Arabidopsis thaliana: one gene and its partner. The protein of the gene in region 1 interacts with the protein of each later gene in a pairwise test. Each region holds a gene or a part of one and is shown in the gene's direction. Other genes may lie near its edges. The genes, in order: AT1G76880 and AT1G43000.

Region 1 (11,944 bases):
CTGTTTAAAACGGATGGTTGAAAATAGCAAAGTTTTTTTTTATGGATCTACCAACTTTTTCAAAAATAATCCCAAGATTTTAATCACACTTTTGAAGTTCTTAATTAGTGGACCCAGCTTGTATCAACCTTTTATTTGTTTAGTATTTAATCAAATCTCTACTCTACTATAAGTTAATTGCTAGCTTTACTTACTCGTATAATTTTTCTTGCGGCAGAATCGATTTATTTAATTTATTATTTTAAATTATTATACAAATATATTTATATCCTCCGGGTGATTTGTGAATCCTTAAGTACATATTATTATATCTATGTTGCTCCATGAAATTTAGGTAGACTATATAATATTTATATCTACTGATGTAGACACGTTAATCATCATCCTCATCAGTCTTTCATACAATCCATTATCTTTCACATTGTATCTAAGTTTAGTGGTACAATTATTTATTAAGAAAGCTATAACTATATATTAAGCAAACTAAACCGCATATTTGTATAATGTCGGTTCTATTTCAACTTATAATTTTGTCGGTTGTATAAATCGAAATGAACCGCACCTAAACCGTATCATTCATAATCATAATTGATAGAAAGAACCATAATTAAGAATGAATCAATATAAAAAAGGAGAATACAAATTACGACAGCGAAGCACCTTCACATGAATCCAAAACCCGCCGTTATATATCTCATGATTTGTGAAGATAAAAAAATGAAATCAACAGATATGCAGATGACATATACAGATAAATTGTATACGTCCACTACGGATTTTATCTTCAACCTATGCAAATAGTAAGATTAAGGTTATTTGGAAAACTGATTGAGCTGGCATAATTTAAATTCGAATTACTAGCTAGTGTAGTTAATAAAACAATGAAAACAAGTACTATAGATTAAGTAAAAGTAATTACATAGTTCTTGTACACTAATGCCACGTTGGAAAATGAGTTAGAGGAGATTAATTAGTTCGGAGCACACAACACATATTTGTGATTTTTCACAGACGCTGACACATATTTTGTGATTTTCCGTGCACACACATACATATGTGTGTGTATATATGTGTATGATTTTCCGTGCAGATGCAGTCGTGTGAGTAATGATGGTAATTTACTAAAGCTGATCGTAGAAATTGTCTGCTAAGTTTAAAACCTCTGAAAAAATAGTAGTTGAGTTCAGTACAACTACATAGTTATGCTTTTATTTGTATTTTCGCCATAGTTTTAGGGAGTAAAAAGGTTAAAAACAAAAAAATATGAAAATAGAAGGATAAAGTTAAAATCAAAACAAAAAACGTGATCAAACTACAAATTCTTTTCACCTCTAATTTTTTTTTATGGTGTGACTAGTGGAGTAATTGCAAACGTTTTATTTCTATTTTCGCAATAGTCATTGGAAGTCAAAATGTAAAATTATTGTAGTAGAAAGATAAAATTACAACATTAAAGATAGTTAAAACTTATGGTAGTAGAAGGATATAACCCAAAAAGAAAAAAGTGATCAAACTACAAACTTTTTTCACCTCTATTTTCTTTTGTTGTTGGTGTAATTGGTGCAGTAATTTCGTCTTTTAGATGGCTACTTGCTCAATCCACTTGCATTTTTTCCCTCCACCTTAAAATTACCATGGCCCATCAATAATTGATTTACTTAATTTTATGGTTATTTGTACACTAATGTCTCTGTTCATATTTTCTAGGGTTTTCTACCTAATTCTTAAACTGTTATTTGTAATTAATCTGCTCTTAGCAGGGTTGTAATTTGTAAAACCACCATATTTGAAATAAGTAATCATAAATAATATCATTCGTTATGGATAAATAAAAAGTTAAGCGCTTATATGCATCATTGTGCGCATGTTGTATTTAGTAATTAAATTATACGGATAAACGTTGTGTATTAATTAATAATCACATGTAACTCAAAGAGTATATTTTTATACTCTTTGCTTGATTTTGTGACATTTTACTCTATAAAAAACAAGAGACACCACTTTCCTTTCATATACATCTTTCACAAAAGCATAGTGTGAAACACATATTTTAGTAAAGAACATATATAGATGCAGATTATATAATGGTACGCAATGTTTTTATTATTATTTAAGACTCGTTATTATATATAATGGTCGTTTTCAACTCCGACGAAGTGCACCTATACGAAAAAGACCCACGACAGATAAAATATACTTTTTCTTTATTAATACAATAAGATAAAAATTGTAACGTTAAGGGTCGAGCCATGCGAAAATCGAGTGGCTACTATATAATTTCGTAGAAAAAATCATATTCAATGCTTTTAGGAGCTACCAAAAGGATGGTCCCTGATATCAGCTTTCAATACATTTTCATGTAATTCATTAAATATCTGAATCTAACGCTGTTAACATTTACTGCCTAATCATGCCGTGAATTTCGATGAACATTCCAATCGTTTTACCCCCAACGCTATGCTGAGTAGGCTGATGATTAGTCTTATACGCAAATTGCGCATTTGACAATCTACATTTTACTATAACCCCAAGTTACTATATATATCGTGTTAGTAAATTCGTATAGTATATACTAAAAAGAAGTTTTTCAGCTTTTAGATGAAGTATGCAGTTTAGTGAAATAGTTTTTAAAAAATACAGAATTGTCAAAAATTGTTTTATTAAATGGATAATCGTTATGCAATAGACAAAGATTTATGTATCACGATTATGCTAACTGCAAAATCTGCAAACTATGAAGGCGTTGCAGCAGAATAATCATTACTATTATAGTAATTATGCTAGAATGTCTCATTTTACTAGTCGTTTAGTTCTTGTACTTGTTTGTGCTAACCTCTTATCTATATATACAGAAGAGCAATCTTGTCAATGCATGCAACTCCGAATCTGTTTCCATTAATATTTTAGGAATATGTTTTGTTTTGTTTTTGCGCAAATTACGTTAACCGTAGTATGTTGGGATTCAAATTCATGTTGTGATTGGCCCAAAAATATTACTATATTTTGTTATTGTTAATACGGAAAATTTTGACCCAAATTAAAGTTAATATGTGGTTCCATCACGAACTTAAATAGGTCATTCCAAAACAAGTTCGAACGCATCACATCTAAATGCATATCCCTCTTTGGAGAAACGATGGATTTTACCACCAAACTACATATTGGTAAAAGTAAAACTATTCCTAACTTCATGTAAGATTTTGTAGGTTAAATTAAAACGGGACGTTGGGAGAAATTAATACCCTGCACTATTGACATTGATGGTTTAGGTTGTCATCGTTTTAAGTGTTTAAATAATTGATTTAGTTAAATAACGGCCGTCAAATCGGTTTGAGATGACGCAAAAACCATCAATATATAAAATAAAAATGAATAACGGAGGCAATGTAATGTATGGCCTCAAACGGGAAATGGTCACCAATCTATTTACTTCAATCCCGAAAATGACTTCCATCTAACCACTTTCCTTCCAACATCCTCTCATCATTTATATTTATTATTTCGATTACTTTGTATCATAACAATAATTTATTACAAAAAAAAAATCATCAAATCTCTGGATTGATTTTGAAATCGAGCCCGTGTTTGTAGAGTGTGGAAGAAGATCAGTAGTGAATTGATATTAAAATAATTTGCAGGGGGGACAAATCCAGATCAGTAATGAGGATGGTTTAGTTTATTAATGATTTAAAGTCTTAAAATGTTGAGAGCTAATAAAATAGATTAATAGCTTAAAAAGCCTCAATGATTAAAGGTCAATGGGATCCACGTTAGGGACAATTTAGTAATTTCAAATAATACGTAAGTCACCCGCCACTGTATACGTTCCAAAAAGCAAGTTCATCCTCATCTCCACCAACTTTTTTTACGTTTTACCTTTTACCTTTTACCCCTATCTTTTTTTATTTGTTCTTCTACTTGTGATCTTTGAAATATAATCCTGTTAATTATCCCTATTTTCTAAATTGATGTTTATCCTGTTGCAGCATTTTGTTGATTTATACAAAGACACATTATTTATCATTACAAGATCATAAACAATGAATAAGCAATGTTTGAACCAACATATAGCTTAATAACTTATGTCTGTTTGAAATAAAAATGGGAATGTCGAATGTGTTTATATTTTCTTTTATAAACTTACATTATACGAATTCATTACTGCAAACATCAGTATGAGAAAATTATATAGTCTTACGTTTTTTGAAATATTTTATAAACTTCGAATTAAAATATTTGTGATTTTTAAACTGGGTTTTTAAGACAATTTAGCTGGACGGACAAAAACCAACTAATAATCACCACCGTCTTTGTGCCCAGCTGTCAATAAATCTCTGCAATAATTTCTTTTTTGGTAATAAATAACTATTGGTTAAAAACTAAATCCTTCAGTTTCCTTCGTATATATCTTTTTGTGCCCACTTTTTTCATCATTGCATATACAACCCATGATGATAAACTCTGGTTTTTAACACCACACTATTACTCTAGCTTTGCTCTACTAGAAAATGACTCTCTCCGTTTTTTTTGTTTAATGTTTTGGGATGAAAATTTTATTTAATATTTCATTTACAAACCTCATTTTTAAAAACTCTAAAGTAGAAATAAATAATATTTTTTTACGTAACATAGCTATCAAAAATAAATACAGTCAAAAGTTTATAACCAATTTTCTACAACAGTCCATGGTAGCAATTACAACCATCACCCATTTTTTATAACCAAATTGAAATCAACCAAAATTTACTTCATATATTTACTTTATTTTTCATACATTTTGTTACATAGATTGTATCAAATATACTTACAAAAAATTATTGAATTACAACTTCTAAATTTAACAATTTTATCAATTAAACTTTATTTTTACAAATCTTTGAAATCATTCAAAATTTTATTTTTGTCTTCTTTTTAATTTATAATAAAATTAAATAATATATCTTTACGTAACGCTCGTAGTTGGCAAAATAAATTTACAATTAAAATCTTTACTAAATTTTTCTTCTACAATAGTCCACAACAATAATTTTACATTTTGGACTTTAACCATAATTTTTACAAATCTTAGAAAATCATTCAAAATTTAATTTTATCTTCTTTTTAATCTATGATAAAACTAAATAATATATTTTTACGTAACGCTCGTAGTTAACAAAACAAATTTACAATTGAAATCTTTACTAACTTTTTCTTCTACAACAGTACATAGCAATAACCTCACATTTTGGAATTTAACCAAAAACGAGTAATTATATTTATTATACTATACGTAACCGTGGTTCAATATTATTAAAGAAATTTTTTATTATAAATATAAAATAGTAAAACACCTTTACCAGATTTAATAATATATTGATACAAAATCCTATGAGGTCATTTTTGATGATACCTACAATTACAAGCCCCCTATAAAATCAATCTAAACCACAATTACAGTATACAAATCTTGGTAAGAAAATACAAAGTGAAAAATAATTTACCCCAAAACTCGGAAAATAGAGGAGAGAGAAATTTGAGAAGATTCCATTTTGGCACAAACAGAGGAAAAAGTATCAATAAAAAGAAAAGAAAATAGGTAAAAAAGAAATAAATCGAAAGAAATATATAAATGTTAGAATGGCTCCTTGAGATTGACAAGCAGATCTCATCACCAGACAAATATAAAATAAAGTAAAGAAATTAACTTAGGTATTTACAAAACTCTCTAACACCATAAAACCCTGCGCCCAGAGATTTCACTCTTCTTCCTCATGTAAACTCTCTCTTTCTCTCTCTCTCTTTATCTCTCCCATTTTTTTTTTCTTCTCTAAATTTTTATTTTTTCTCTTTTTTATTTTTCATTTCTGTAACTTCTTCTCCGTCAAAGACACAGAGAGTAGAAAAAAAAGAAAAACAGAGGAACAGATTAAAAAAAAAAAAACTTTATTAAACGATGATGCAACTGGGTGGTGGTACTCCGACCACTACAGCGGCGGCTACAACCGTCACAACTGCTACAGCACCACCGCCACAATCAAACAACAACGATTCAGCGGCAACAGAAGCAGCGGCAGCAGCGGTTGGGGCGTTTGAGGTGTCGGAAGAGATGCACGACCGTGGGTTTGGAGGAAATCGTTGGCCGCGGCAGGAAACGCTAGCGTTGTTGAAAATACGATCTGACATGGGAATAGCGTTTCGAGACGCTAGCGTTAAAGGTCCCTTATGGGAAGAGGTTTCTAGGTTCGCGTTTTCTTCTCCCTTTCCTCTTTATTCCCTTTTCCTTTTTTTGGTATACTTCTTTTTCCACTCTCTCTTTTTTTCTTCTCTGAATTTTTTGTTTTCTAATTGGGAATGATTATGAAACTTGTTTTTTTTTTTTAAATTGAACGAGTGTTGTTTAAAGATCTGTGTTAATTGTCTGAGATTTGGTTCAATTTTGTCTTTTGGGATTTGCTTGAATTTCGCCGAATTTGTAAGAGTTGTCTTTTTGGTTTGTATAGTTCAGTGAGATTCAGATTCGGACAGTTCTTGAAGTGGGTTTCATTAAAAATTTAAACTTTATTTAACAGTTAGATAATATAAGTTGGGTCATGTTATATTCATGAGATTGAGAAAGCAAGACTCTTTTGTCACAAACTCATGCTGATTGATCCACTTCTCAACCATATTTATCCTTTTTCTTTTTTTCCATAACAAAATTAGTCTATTTACTTCATGAATTTTTTGATGAATTTGTGAATCTTTTTTTTTTCTTTGGTTCTGATAGGAAAATGGCGGAGCATGGTTACATAAGAAACGCAAAGAAATGCAAAGAGAAATTCGAGAACGTTTACAAATACCACAAACGAACCAAAGAAGGTCGTACCGGAAAATCCGAAGGCAAAACTTATCGCTTCTTTGATCAATTAGAAGCTCTCGAGTCTCAATCTACAACCTCACTCCACCATCATCAACAACAAACGCCTCTTCGACCACAGCAAAACAACAACAACAACAACAACAACAACAACAACAGCTCCATATTTTCAACTCCTCCTCCGGTAACGACAGTTATGCCGACGCTTCCTTCTTCATCAATTCCTCCGTATACTCAGCAGATTAATGTACCTTCGTTTCCAAACATCTCCGGTGATTTTCTATCGGATAATTCTACATCGTCTTCGTCTTCTTATTCGACTTCTTCTGACATGGAGATGGGTGGTGGAACTGCGACTACAAGGAAGAAAAGGAAGAGGAAATGGAAGGTGTTTTTCGAGCGGTTGATGAAACAAGTAGTTGATAAACAGGAAGAGCTTCAACGCAAATTCTTGGAAGCTGTTGAAAAGCGAGAACACGAGAGATTGGTTAGAGAAGAGTCTTGGAGAGTTCAAGAGATTGCCAGAATCAACCGCGAGCACGAGATCTTAGCTCAAGAACGCTCTATGTCCGCTGCAAAAGACGCTGCTGTTATGGCCTTTCTTCAAAAACTGTCAGAGAAACAACCGAATCAGCCACAACCGCAGCCTCAGCCGCAACAAGTTCGACCATCAATGCAGCTTAATAACAACAATCAGCAGCAACCGCCTCAACGGTCTCCTCCACCGCAACCTCCTGCTCCGCTTCCGCAGCCAATTCAAGCGGTTGTGTCGACGTTAGACACAACGAAAACGGACAATGGTGGTGATCAGAATATGACTCCTGCAGCTTCAGCGAGCTCGTCGCGGTGGCCGAAAGTGGAGATAGAAGCATTGATAAAGCTGAGGACGAATCTTGATTCGAAATATCAAGAAAACGGACCAAAAGGACCATTGTGGGAAGAGATATCAGCGGGAATGAGAAGGTTAGGATTCAACAGGAACTCAAAGAGATGCAAAGAGAAATGGGAAAACATAAACAAATACTTCAAGAAAGTCAAAGAGAGCAACAAGAAACGTCCCGAAGATTCCAAGACTTGCCCTTACTTTCACCAGCTTGATGCTTTATATAGAGAGAGGAACAAATTCCACAGCAACAACAACATTGCAGCTTCTTCTTCATCTTCCGGTCTTGTTAAACCGGATAATTCTGTTCCCTTGATGGTCCAACCAGAGCAGCAATGGCCTCCGGCTGTAACGACTGCGACAACTACTCCCGCAGCGGCTCAGCCTGATCAGCAATCTCAGCCGTCGGAGCAGAACTTTGATGATGAAGAAGGTACAGATGAAGAGTACGACGATGAAGATGAGGAAGAGGAGAATGAAGAAGAGGAAGGAGGTGAGTTCGAGCTTGTGCCTAGCAATAACAACAACAACAAGACGACGAATAATCTGTAATGATGATGATTCGAGTTCGAACCGGTTTGGTGGTGAAAGATTAGTAATCTTTTTTTAAGTTTTGATACAGAACATGAGAATTTAAATATTGGAGGGTTTTTTTTTTTTTTTTTTTTTCATCTTTGATTTTTAAGTTATACTGAAGAGAGATTTAATATGTTAAAACAAAATTAAAATAAACTGTGATTTAATTATTTTTTCCTTGGGATATATAAATAAAAAATGTTAAGATAGGGGGACAATGTGGGGTTTTCATAAGCAAATAAAAATAAAAGAAAATGTAATTGTATATGTTTTCTTAAATGAATGGTTCTTGTTGGTGGTGACGATGTGTTATTTGTTTTTGTACATATTATTACCATTATTGTTTTGTCTACATTATAAAAATTAATTACATGGTGGGACTGTGAGACGAGAGTTACTCATCCTTTTTCAGTAACAGTTTCCTTGGTAGGATAAATAAATAACTTTATTAGTATATGTTATTTTATTACAAAAAATAAAAAAGAAGATGCCAAGTTCACATGCACACAATGAGAGAGAGCGTGGGGTTTGGGGTCCACGTGTAAAAAAAGGAATCTTACTCTTTTATCTAATCTCTGTCTCTTCTTCTTCGTTGCCCTAAAACGCAAGACTCTCTTTTTCTGTAAGGGTGATTTCGTAAATTATTACTGTGGAGTGCACGTGACAGATCCAACCATTCATACAAAAACACTCTTATTTGAGACCGATGATGATTCGCTGTGTCACAATTTAATTCATAAGTACTATCGACACATGTTTGGTCGCATTTCCTGATCTGTCTGTTTAACCGAAAAATTGATGTATCTACCGATGATCGTGACTCCTCTTTAACGTTTTTTACGTATGCTTACTTTACTTGTAATATACATGTGCATAAACACTCGCTCGTGAAATCTGCAAGGATTATCACATCATACAAATTGTGATTATTATAGCTGTTTTAAATTAGCATTACTATTCATACCGAACACAAATTTTAGTTAAAGTTTGGTTTGTTTGGTTCATGAACATTCAAGATGTTATGGATTTTGCACATGTTAACAATGAAGAGCATCGTATATATAAATATATCTACAATAATCCTCGCTGTTTTTATTCTGTATGTTTTGCAAGCTATATACTACACTAATTAAATTAATTATTATGAATTTGTTACCTAATCGACATTGAAAATTACCTCTATGTAGAGACCTATTTTGTGTCAGATTGGTTAAGAGCTGTTTTCTTCTCATTTTTGTGTGTGTGTGTGTGTGTGTGTATCAGTGTATGTGCGTATTTACATATTTCATTTTTATCATTATTTGTCTATGACTACTTAAAACCTAGACACGAATCTACAATATCTTACCCAACCTTCGAAGAAAGGAACTACCATTTTTTTGTAAGTGCATGTTGTCTTTTTTCGTCCCTTGCATTATAATGTGAGCCCACCTTTAATTTGTTTGGTGTCTGTTATCGTTTATTTGGATCAGATAACAATCACTTTATATTCTTTTAGCTAGCATAACCAAGTCTTACTTTGCACCGTTGAATTATAGAATATCAATAGCTAGTTAAACTAGTTTGAAATTGCGAGATTAAAATGATCAAACAAGGCAATAAGTAGACTTTAAAGTACACGAAAAGGACTCGTAGGAAATATTTATTCTTATTTAATACGAGTATTGAAAATTGAAATCGCAGGTCCACCGTCCACGGATGTAGAAAGTTGATTTATGAAATATTTATACGTCCATAAATTTTTCTATGTGTTTATTGGATGTTATTTTGAAATAATTCAAGATATTTTTGTATAGGTTTACAATTTCATTGTGTGTGTAATAATTTCTCACGGAGCGACCTACTTACTGTCAATTCTATATGATGTCTACATATAGAGTTGTAATGACTAATGAGGTTTGATGTATTTTGACTTAGTCCATTTTTTCGTGTGTTAGATAATTATACTTGTTTACAAAAAAAAAAGATAATTATACTTATGACAAATGACATTTGATATTATCATGTAGCAAATGCGAGGATGATGATATGACCAAGAACTTATTATCGCTGTATCTCAAATTTTTATTGCAACTCAAATTAGATGCACCGTCTCACTGTATTTAAGACTCAAACATTAGACATTTTCCAAGCAAAATGCGGCTTTAATTAAATGTAAGATAGAAAGAAATGCATATGCACTGGTTATCCTCGAAGAGAATTACAAATTTTCTGGAAACTGAAAATGTGTAGGTATGGATTCAGGATTCTTAAGAAGAAAATTTGTATCATCATTTAACTAAATATGCAGATATAAATAGATTATTCGTTGTGAATAATCACTCGTTAACATTGCACAGTTATTGCAATTTGCAAGATATACCAGGAAAATTTTGTAATGATGATTTTAAACCATAGATGTGTAATGAACTCGAACAATCTGTGGCACTGAGTAAGTACCTACATGTAAAGCAATCAACAAGTGGACATCATTTTATCGCTGTATCTCAAAATAATGTTCTCCACGATTATTGTTCAGATTGCCATTTTTTGGCCAAATCTTTTGTTTATGCTATTTTTGATATGGGCTTTTGGATTTGCCATTTTAGGCCTAATGCAATTACGTTTTTGTCCTTGTCTTCAACCTTTGTCTTCCATTTCGTTTTTGCTTGTTGCCGGACCACAATTATTTGCCGACCACCACCGTCGGGCTTCATCCACGCATCTACTTCAACTCTATCACCACCTTCAGTTTTAGTTCTATTAACATCATCACTTTTGTCTCCGATTCATGAAACGTCATCACCATAAACACCATTTCATTCAATGATTTTGAATGAAAAAATATTAAACCCTAAGGGGATAATGTCTAGTAAACCCAAGGGCTTCAACTATAAACATTGAATTAATAAACCCAAGAGCTTTAATTATAAACACTGAATTAATCAAACCTTCTAAATTATCTTCAAATCGAAACCAAATTTGAAAATTATAATCATATATTCATGAAATCTTTGAGTTTTTTAATTTCTCCTGACAAATCGAAACTCAAAGATAAAGAGATTAGTTTCAAAGCTTTCGTCCTTTGGTGTTGCTTAAACTGGAGTTGTCATGAGATCTCGTCATGAAAAACCAGATCGAGAAATTAACTTTGTGGAAGAACAATTCTGAAATTTTTTTTGCAACAAAACAAGGGTAAAATTGTCTTTTCCGATGAAATAAAAATGGCAAACTCACAAACTGTTTAAAAAATGGCAAATTCAACAAATGCCATGTGAAAAAATGGCTTTCTTGTAATTGATTTTTTTACCAAAATAAAAATAATAAATAAGTTCTCCAATCATTTTTTCCACCCAAAATTTATTTCGTGTCACATAAATTATTTACTTTCCAAAACCCACAAAATATTGTTTTGTTGTTGCATTTAACCAAAAATATATTTTTGCATAAAAAAAAATAAAAATAAAAAGTCCATAATAATGGATAACTTGGATAGTTTGAATATAATGATGCAGCAGTCAAACGTTTCTACGATAGCCACAAATTTTTTAAGTTGGGTTATATTGCTTGTTTGGTTACGACTTACGAGTTTAGGTCTAATGATTTTGAAACTTAATTGTCAAAAAACTATTTACCGACAACATGATAATTGAAAGAAAAAAAATGAAACT
Region 2 (10,323 bases), about 13 Mb from region 1:
ATTTTACAAACAAAAATCTCTGTGACAATCCCAAAGATTGGCTCGTCTGAACCCTAAATAATATCTGATGACAAAAAAAAAAAAAAAAAAAACTGTGATAATGTCAAATGAAGCAAACATGTAAAAACTAGCATGAGGAAAAGCTTTATCAATGTTAATCAACCTAATGAATTGTTATCTAGTAATTAGAAGTGATATTACCTGAAGTTATGCCTCAAAATCAACATTTTAAAGGCAGAAGCATTATTAGATAGATATCATCCATAACCATAAGACCCACATTCACTGTTAACTTATCGATATTAGACAGAAAACTTTCAACAGCGAAATACAAAACAAGAGAGAGAAAACTAAAAGACACTCATCTACAACTCAAAATGCGCAAAAGAAGCAGTTAAAAAAGGCGTTGTCACGCCGCAAGGGTTAAGATTTGGTATTTCATCCTAGGCCTCGAACCCTTACATCTCCGACTAACGCCGGTATAAGACGGTTTGCTACTACTCCCGAGCCCGTTTAGAACCAGCTTTTCTGGTTCTGGACGTAGGAGGCAACACTTTGTGTGGGACATATAAGGGAATAGGCAAATGAAGTTTACTCCCAGAAGCCAAAGCAGGGAACCCAACAGCAGGGATTCCAACAAGAGCACAGCAGACTCCTGCTTCGACATCATGGTAGTATTATTGCCATTACCCTTTTGCAAACAGTAACGTAGAGACTGGTTTTCAGCAACGAAGCACTCAAGCATACGTCCTAGTCTCAAGCATTCTCTTTCGAGATACTTACTCTTCTTCTCTAAATCTTGTACATATTCCTTCTTCCTCTCTCTCGATCTAACCGCCGCATCTCTATTTCTTACTCTCCTGAACCACAATCACATCCCAATTATCAAACCTCAGTTTCTTTTCATAGCATAAAAGGCTTTAACAATCTTAAGTTAACCAAAATACACATACCTATGTTTGAACATAATCAGCTCATGAATATTAACACAAGATTAACAATAATTAAAGGCAACCAAAATTTAAACAGTCATTTACTTAAATGATTAGTTCTCAATGTTGTTATCAAAACAATAACACACTTATAGCAATCTAAATGAAACAAAAATCAACATCACTCATAATCAATCAACTCTTCAACGTCACACATACATAAACATAATAACATGAACATATCACAAGATACGCAAGCAAAATTTAAACACTCGTTTCTCAAATCTTCACTGTTACACATACGTATCTCCTAGTTCTCAATGTTGTTCTCAAAGCATAACACACTTTTAACAATCTTAATGAAACCAAAATCAACACAAACATACAAAATCCATCCATAAACCCTAACTTTTCAAACAAGAGTAAAATTAGATATACCTTCTTCGTTTTTTAGCCACAGCATCATCGTCTCCTTCTTCGTCATCATCATCATGAATCTCGCTACCAGAATCATTAGACTTCTTCTCAACAACCAAATCCGAATTCTCCTTCCCGGAATCATCAGCGGCGGCGGGAGAATCGACGGTTAGAACTTTATCAGCCGCCAAATCAACGGAGCCAGAATCGCTAGTTGGATAATCAACGAGTAGATCCGCTATGAAATCTGAAACCGATTGCTGATCCAATTCCACAAAACTCTCCTCTTGATGATTCTCATCGTTCATCAATTGATTCTCGATTTCTCCGATCCATGAATCCGGTGAAGACTGAAGAAAATCCTCCGCCGGAAGAGAATCAATTACGATTGAAGGATCGAAATCGAAGAAGAAATCTTCATCTCCGAGTAAATCTATGCTTCCAAATTCCTCCGCCATGGTCAAAAAAAAAAAAATATACAAAGAAGAAAAAAAAAAGCGAATTTAATTTAAGAAATTGGAAGAGAGATGAGTTATATAGGAACTGTGTTTGAGACTTTTCTAAATTTCTTTGCGACCAAGTAAATGTGTAGAAAAAGAGTCAGCATGACACGTGTTGATTATGGACGCGTTTTTTGAATTTTTAGCCAATGATGTGATGGAGTGTACTGTGTTATAGTGTTTCTGTTAGCAGAGGATTATTGTTTTTATGTGCCGTCACACAACCAATGAGAAGGCTTCAAGCTGGAAGAATAGGATCACAGCCGAACACGTGTACTCAGTGAAGTGTTCGTGTGATTAATAACTCGGTTCTAATTCACTTCTTTTCTCTTGGTTTGATTTTCTTATTTTCGGTACAGTTATGTAAACCAGTTAGCTATAGTCAAAACGATGTACATGTAGTTGAGATGGACAATGAGACCAAGGAGAGCAAGGCTTCTTTGACCATTTCTCAGAAATCAATCAAAATTCTTCAGTCCCTTTTTCTCTTTGTCACCGTCAACATCTTCCACGATTGAATCTTTGTTCTCCGAGAGGACTTTTCTTCCTTCGTGACCATCTTCTAGACTTTGAAAGTTATCAATTTGTTAATTAAAATCATATATTATATTGTCAATTTATGTTACATTCTGGATTATCTTCCTTATTCAATTTTAAATGAGTGATTAATCTTCATTCAATCTCACATGAATGAATTTGTAAAATTTTCAGTTCTCTAGCAGATGAGTGAACTAATTATATATGTGAAAGTTGATCTACTATTTTCATATGAATGTCACGTTATTATTTAATTATTTTCTATGTGTTCATTCAATAATTAATGTAAGATTTACATTTATTATTAATTATTTATCTTTAATTGTATCAATTCTAAATTTATTTTTGTTATTATATGTATTTTAAAGAATAAATATATTTTACTATTTTCTTCATACTCATTTAAGGTTTATTTGCTAATGTTTTGTAGTCATAACTTAAAATAGGAATAGATATTACTATAGTGAATTAGCTAATGGTTTGGTAGCTTATTATCATTAATCTCTATCTAAATAATATAATACAGAGGATGAGGAGTATACAGAGATCCATCCTCAAATTCCTGATGTTTATATATTTCCAACATTAACATCTATTAAATTGTTTTACGATGAAAATTATTTCAAGATTGTGTGAATAATTACACTTTTTCAAAAAGTACTTAAAAAGTAGTTTAACATTAAAAGCAGTTGATGATTATATATTTTTCAATAAAATGTTAAATTATATTTTAAAAAAAGTAGATAAAGTGCAATTTCAATTAGAAACGAATAGAAGACAAGTTTTAAACACCAATAGAAATATTAAAAAGCTAGATGATGTTAGTTTTAACTTCTGGACAAAAACCAAATTTGGAGGTCGTATCTCTTGTCCCCAAGAAGTCTGATTGATGAGATTTGATTTTGGACTTGCTTATCAACCGAACTTGTCAATAATAGCATTAGTAATTATAATTTTAGTAACACATTATTTACATTAATTATAATTTTAGGACAATTGTATTAACCTGACTTGTGATCTAATGACGTGGTTCATAAAGTCACTTATCGAAAGTTAATAGTGTATATTTTCTATGATATAGTTCTTTTATAATGCTAATTAAATACCTATGAAGAAATATAAGGATTGCAAATTTTGTAATTAAACTAATAGAGAGGACTCTAACAAAGCTATTTAACTACGTAAAGCATATATTTCCTTTTGTATATTACTTTTTTGTTTGTATGTAAGCGGGAATACTTACCACATGTACTACAATTCCTTGTTCACCAAACTTCAAATAACTTCCCCAACGTCCTAAGTAACATCTTTAAAATTTGAAGAACATGATAGCGAGGGAAACTAAATTCAACGTGAATTTATTTTACTTGGTTTTACTCTACTTTTGTTACTACCAAGGTGAATTTGATTTAAACCTAGTTCAAAGTCACTTTTTTCTAGCCTAGCTCAAATTATATAAATTGTGCAATGTTGTAATTGTCCTAGTCTAATTATCATCACGTTTTTTAAATTTTAGTATTGATTTCACATGTCTTAATTTTAAATTTTATTTGATGATATATTATTTGACATAGTATAAATTTCTTTTTAACACGCGTTAAAAGCAATAATTTTCTTAAAAATATTTAACCAAATTTAGCTTGTATTATACAAAAATAAAATGAGTAATATCACTACCTAACTATACTTTAGGTTTTTATTATCAAAATTTATATATGACATTTTATTATCAAAATCTATATATGACATTTTGTACATATAGTGGTTCATTTCTCACACAAGTTCTTTTAAATTTATTTTAAATTTAGTATAGATTTCACGTAACGGTTTTAAGAAGATATTCCTATTTTGTTTGACTATATTATTTGATATAATATCACTTTCTTTTTGACACGCGTCAAAAATAATAATTTCCATTAAAATCATTTGACCACTTTTAACTCTTGTTGGATTATCTACCAAATATAATTGATGTTATATAGCTATTTTATATCAAAGTCATTTTTTGGAAAAACAGGGGCTTTTAGTTAAATAAAAAAACTAGAGGACCTATAAGTAAAAATATTATAATATATAATAACATAAAAAGATAAGTAATTAACATGAGTACTATGAAAAAAAATCACACAAGCAATAAGAATTAGTAAATCATTTGTCAATCATGGTATTAATAACACATTATTTACATAAATTTTATTTTTCTTATATCTAACACGCGTCAGAAAAGATAACTGTTGTCAATATATTTATTTTACTAATTTTAACAAATAATTTATTATCTACCAAATAAAATGACAACAAAATAAAAATCTAGATCTAAATACAGCAAACCAAATAAAACCAAAGCAAAATTGATGAGAAAAAATGCTCTTTTTCACAAAACTAGGGGGTTTTGAGATTATAAAATAAATAAAGAGTCTAAATGTAAAGTTATTATAACAATATGGAAGAAAATATAAATAAAAATAAGTAACAAAAAGTAAAAAAGGCCGACCTTTTCAGTGTCTTATAAATTTCTCCATCGTCTTCTTCTTCTTCTTCTTCTTCGTCTTCTCTCTGTAAACCCCCACACAAACCTGTGGCCGCTATATTCTCCATTTTCTCAGTAACCATCTCTGTTTTTTTCTCTGTTTCTCAGATTAAGTTTCGTGTGTCAAACAGATCAAAACCCAAACAATGGTTATTCCTCTGTTTTTTTCAGAATTTTTCAATCGATGTTATTTTATAGAAATTGATTCATGGGTCTGTGTTATTTTCAGGTGAGTTCCATTGTAAAAATGGAGAACGACGACGTAATGACTCCGCCATGGCTAACACCAATGCTTCGAGCTGATTACTTCGTGACTTGTTCGATTCATTCACAATCGAGTAAAAGTGAATGTAATCTGTTTTGTTTGGATTGTTCAGGCAATGCCTTTTGTTCTTCTTGTCTCGCTCATCACAGAACCCATCGTGTTATCCAGGTTTGGTTTTCAATTTTTCATTACCCATCTATCTCTCAGGAATTTTGTCGAACACGTTTGTTTAATGAACCTAATTCTATGTTTTTTTTTTGTTGTTGTTACAGATTCGACGATCGTCGTATCATAATGTGGTGAGAGTGAGTGAGATTCAAAAACATATTGATATCTCTTGTATTCAGACTTATGTTATCAATAGTGCTAAGATCTTCTTCTTAAACGCGAGACCTCAATGTCGAACTGGTAAAAGCTTAAACAAAACATGTCAGATCTGTTCTCGTAACCTTCTCGATTCGTTCCTGTTCTGTTCTCTTGCTTGTAAGGTAAATGCTGCAATGTTGTGGTCTTTCTTCAAACTCAAGTTTGATTATATAGGTTTCTTGATTGTTTCTTATTGGTCTAAAATAGCTTGAAGGTGTGAAGAATGGAGAGGATCCAAACCTGACTTTATTTCATAGTGGAAAGAGTGATGACTCGTCGAAGATCATCAATACCGGGATTTGTAGCCGTTTGATCGACGGGATCTCGATTGCGGTTGACGACCAACGCAGCGAAACCGCGGGTGTGTTATCTCCAGAGACACCTTCAATAGAAAGCCACCGGAATTACCCAATGAAGAGTAGAAGAAAGGGTATACCTCAACGAGCACCTTTCTAAAAGGCTTTATGAAAGAGTTAAGATATAAGATAGAATATGGGAAGGATCAGAAAAGAGAAAACAAAAAGTGTTGGTAAATGACTAATGAGTAAATGGAATCATCTTACATAAATAGTAGCAAGCTTAATGATTATAAGAGTACAGAACAAAAGTGTGATTTTTTCATAGATATTGGGTTATAAATATATGATTTTAAACAGCCTTATTTACCTCACTTTTGTCTCTTTAATTATTTTTTATAGCACTATCATCTATTTTTATGATTTGGAAAAATAAAATTTTAAAATGTCACATCACATTTACAAAACATGGAGATGTAAAAATACATATTTGTATATTTATAGGAGATTCCTTCATGGTCTTTTGAATGTTCATTTTAGCTTAAAAAGTGAGAGAGTGAGTTGGCATTTATGGAGGGGATATGTGAAAAGTATGGTATAAAATAAGCTTGGTTTAATAAAGAATGGAGAAAGTGTAGTGGTGCGGATTTGTCATACTTTGCCATCAACATTGTTTTTGGGGTTTGGTGAGAGTATCTTATAATTTTTTGGGCAAAGATATATTTCCTTTTGTGGAAGGTAAATCATGTTTTGCTTGTTTACCTCCTTTTAAAGAAAACGATTTAATTTTTTATTTTGCCAAAGGATTTTCATTTTTATTGACTTTGTAGGTTCATATGGTGGACACAAACATATTGGGATTAGCCCATACATTACAAGGCTCATGCCCCATTAAAGATGTCAACTGGGCTGTTCATGTCCAAATGAACAGCCCTATTTTTTGGTCATTATTGGTTTAAGCTAAATGGGATCAAATCCAAATTAGACCAAACCCAAAAAGAACCATAATAAATCAGGCAATCCATGGGTCCAAATCTTATTATATAAAATACAGTTTAGAAAGTTAGTAACTCGCGAGATCATGACATATGGCAAGTATATATATATATATATATAATTATGTTTATTAATCAAAAAAAATTAACAGTACATGTGTTATGATCAATTAAATAAATCTAGCATGTATTAATTTAAAAAAAAAATTATTAGTAACTCTTAAAAATAAAAAGACATTGAGAAGATACCCTGGATATGTCCTGGAATATCACTGGCTTTGAGGATTGTACCTCTCATGCTTGCTTCACTTATATATTCATTTGAGGATTGTACACCCTCGAGGTCGTTCTTGAGGATTTGAACATGACTTTGGGATTTACCTTGCACAAGACCGAACCAATTTATTCTGACACCCTCGAGAAAGCGTACAATTATTTTTATTAGTCTTTCATAATTTCATCTCCCTGGTATTAATATATAGACAACTAACTCTAGCCTATGTGTCGATGTCGTGCTTATAAAGAAACTTACTTTTTAATTATACCTTGATGCTTCCAAAGTGAGTCTTTTTATCGTTGGTTGGAATGTATTGTTATCGTTACAAAGTTATTTGATTGTTGGTCTCAAGGGTAAGAAAAGGAAAAGTTTTTTTTTCGTTATTATAAATGAAGTAGTTTATCAAGTTGTGTTGGGTTTCAAATTTGTCTCTAAAATCTATGAATTTTTCCTACAGCCTATGTAATATTGGCTTATATAATAAAATTACCGAGGACCAATAACATCAATACACACATTCGGAAACACATCGAATCAATAAGAATACAATGTTAGCGCTTAGTGCTACTGGAGTCTATACTCGTCACATCCCAGATGGTTCGTTCTATATCTTTCTATTGGATTTACTCAAGTACTTATCTTTTCTCAATTAACCGGTTACGGTAAGATTTTGATCATACCTATATTTAAGAAAAAACAAATAATAGTTAATTCATATTTTACTAAACTTATATATATATATATATTGATAAGTTTATGCAATTATTAGTATATGATAATGATGTGACCAGATAGTTACATACGATTTTCAAACAAATTATTATTTTATCGAATTATGTTAAATATTATATTGCCTCGCTAAAGACCAAAAACTTTTATAAATTATAGTGATTATTAATTTCTCGAGTATTAGTTTATAAAAAAATTTTTTGTACAAACTCTTCACAAGTTAAAGTTGAATTTACAATTGTGGTCACTTATTTTCTTCTCCTAATTTATTTGAATGTTGTATAATTTATAAATTACTAGATTAGGACCCGCCCGATGGACGGGTTTTAAAGTTTTAAAATAAAATTTTATAAATGTATATCAAAATTTGTTGTAAGAGAAAATATTTTTGAAAAAATAGATAACTTTTTTAGCTAGAGAAAAGACTTATAATATTTCTTTAAACCTTTTTGTTGAGAAAAAGTTTTTATTTCACTAATTTTTACTTCTATATTTTAGTTATCAAATGTTTTACCACATACTTATCATTATTAGTAATGTCAATTCACAAAAAAGTAATTTTGGAAATCCATATATTTTTCAATTTTTTTTTATAATCCAACCACCAGTCAAACTTTGATCTTATTTACATTATTTTACAAATATACTATTGAACTATGCTTTTTACCGTTTACAAAATATATATATGATCAGTTGATAACAATACCCCAACTATATGTCTATTTTTTTTTCTTATAGTTTCTTTAACCATTTAAATTGTTGACCCAAAAAATATATTAAATAATCACATAAAAATAATTGATGACATTTATATAAAAGAAAAAAATATGCTTAAATGAAGTGAGTGTATAACCAACCTAGAAATTAGAAAAGTTGAGAAATTAATTTGACATAACTAAAAGAAAAATGAAAATTATAAGTACAATGATATATGAGTCTTAGATAATAAAAGTATAAAAATAAAAATTAAAAGGAAAATAAAAATAAAATAAAGAATCTACAAAATACTACACCTAAATTAAAAAATAGCAGAAAAGAAGAAATATATATTGATCTAAATTGTCTTAACAAAAAAATGGAAATTCAAATAAACAACATAACAATTTATTTTAAATCCTAACAAACTTTTAGTTATAAAATAAAATCAAAAGGAATAACATATAATTTTAAATTAAATAATGACACATGTTATAATCTAAAATTATTAGCTCGATGATATATAATTAATATTATATTATTCAAAAACTTTATACTTATTTTTTAGTTTAAGATTTTCAATGCATGTAGTCATTAGTGAAAACACCAAAAATTAGGAAAATAGGGCTTAAAGGGATTGATTTTTTGATTATTTGATGACAATGTTAATATAAATTTTAAGTCATTTAATATGAGTTTGACATTAGGTAAAACTAATTTATGAGATTATAGAATACAACAAAACTATATCTTAAACAATGTTTCTTTTCCAAAATAGTTTGTGGTTTTCTTTATTTTTGGTTCATTATGTTTTGTTATTTATTAAATATTTTAATATGAAGTAATTCTATTATTTTGATATGATATAATTATATTGATGTGATATGATATACATATTATTTTGATATAAAATTTAACAGTTATCCATTAAAATAACATGTGCATAATCAAAATCGAGATTATCATGATGAAATAGATAGTTAAATTGTATAGCAAAATAAAATCTATAAGATTAAAATTTTGGTTTTTATTAATTACTAAACAAAATATAAAGAAAGTGTGTTGACTAACTTAAAATTTTAATATCATCAATAAGATATAGTTAAAATCATTAAGTATATAGCAAAATGAATATTGTAAGATTAAAATTCGATATAAATTTTTTTTACTAGATTAGATATTTAAAAAATAGGAATTATCATTTACTATTTAAAATTCCAATCATCGGTAAACATTTATAATTATTTTTAAACCCGCCTATCTATACCGGCCTAACCTAGTAATATATGATATCATGAACACATTTTTTCAAAACGTCATACTAAAGTCTTAAGTGTTTCACACAATGACACAATGACATAATTTCAATACTTACATAAGTTCAATATTAAGAACTTATTAAGAACATAAGTTCAATACTTCATAAGTTCAATATTAAAAATCATGGGTGGTCCATGTCCATTTAATTATAGTCAGCTTTTGGACAAGCCCAAAATAAACCCTTCAGTTTTGGGGTTGTCCAAAAGTTGACTATAATTAAATGGACATGGGCAGTCCATGGTTTTCAGACCCAAATAACAACCTTAGGCCCGGTAACGGGAAACCAAACCCAAGATTGTAAAGAAGACCAACAAAATTCTCCTAATGGGCCAGAAACGATTTTATTCTACTCTATAAGTTTTCTACTCTTTTGTTTGAGATTATCTGGTATTGTAGTTAGTTACTTGATTTCATATTTTACACTTTACAGTTTTAGCTAGATCTAGCATTTAGTTAGTGGATT

Evidence for each region.
Region 2: the proteins of AT1G76880 (region 1) and AT1G43000 interact in a two-hybrid assay, tested with the Arabidopsis thaliana proteins (one large-scale study listed by BioGRID).

What each region holds. Positions count from the first base shown.
Region 1 is NC_003070.9:28,859,662-28,871,605, forward strand, and holds AT1G76880 (Duplicated homeodomain-like superfamily protein), read left to right. Parts: upstream 1-5,652; 5' UTR 5,653-5,932; coding exon 5,933-6,219; exon of another isoform or gene 6,220-6,745; coding exon 6,746-8,270; 3' UTR 8,271-8,564; downstream 8,565-11,944. UniProt on the Arabidopsis thaliana protein: Transcription repressor that negatively regulates root hair growth by directly binding RSL4 promoter and repressing RSL4 expression. Required for the synthesis of seed coat mucilage.
Region 2 is NC_003070.9:16,135,653-16,145,975, forward strand, and holds AT1G43000 (PLATZ transcription factor family protein), read left to right. Parts: upstream 1-4,873; 5' UTR 4,874-5,062; coding exon 5,063-5,065; intron 5,066-5,145; coding exon 5,146-5,349; intron 5,350-5,453; coding exon 5,454-5,669; intron 5,670-5,754; coding exon 5,755-6,003; 3' UTR 6,004-6,140; downstream 6,141-10,323. Other genes in the region: BZIP60 (basic region/leucine zipper motif 60), read right to left, coding at 410-860, 1,371-1,807.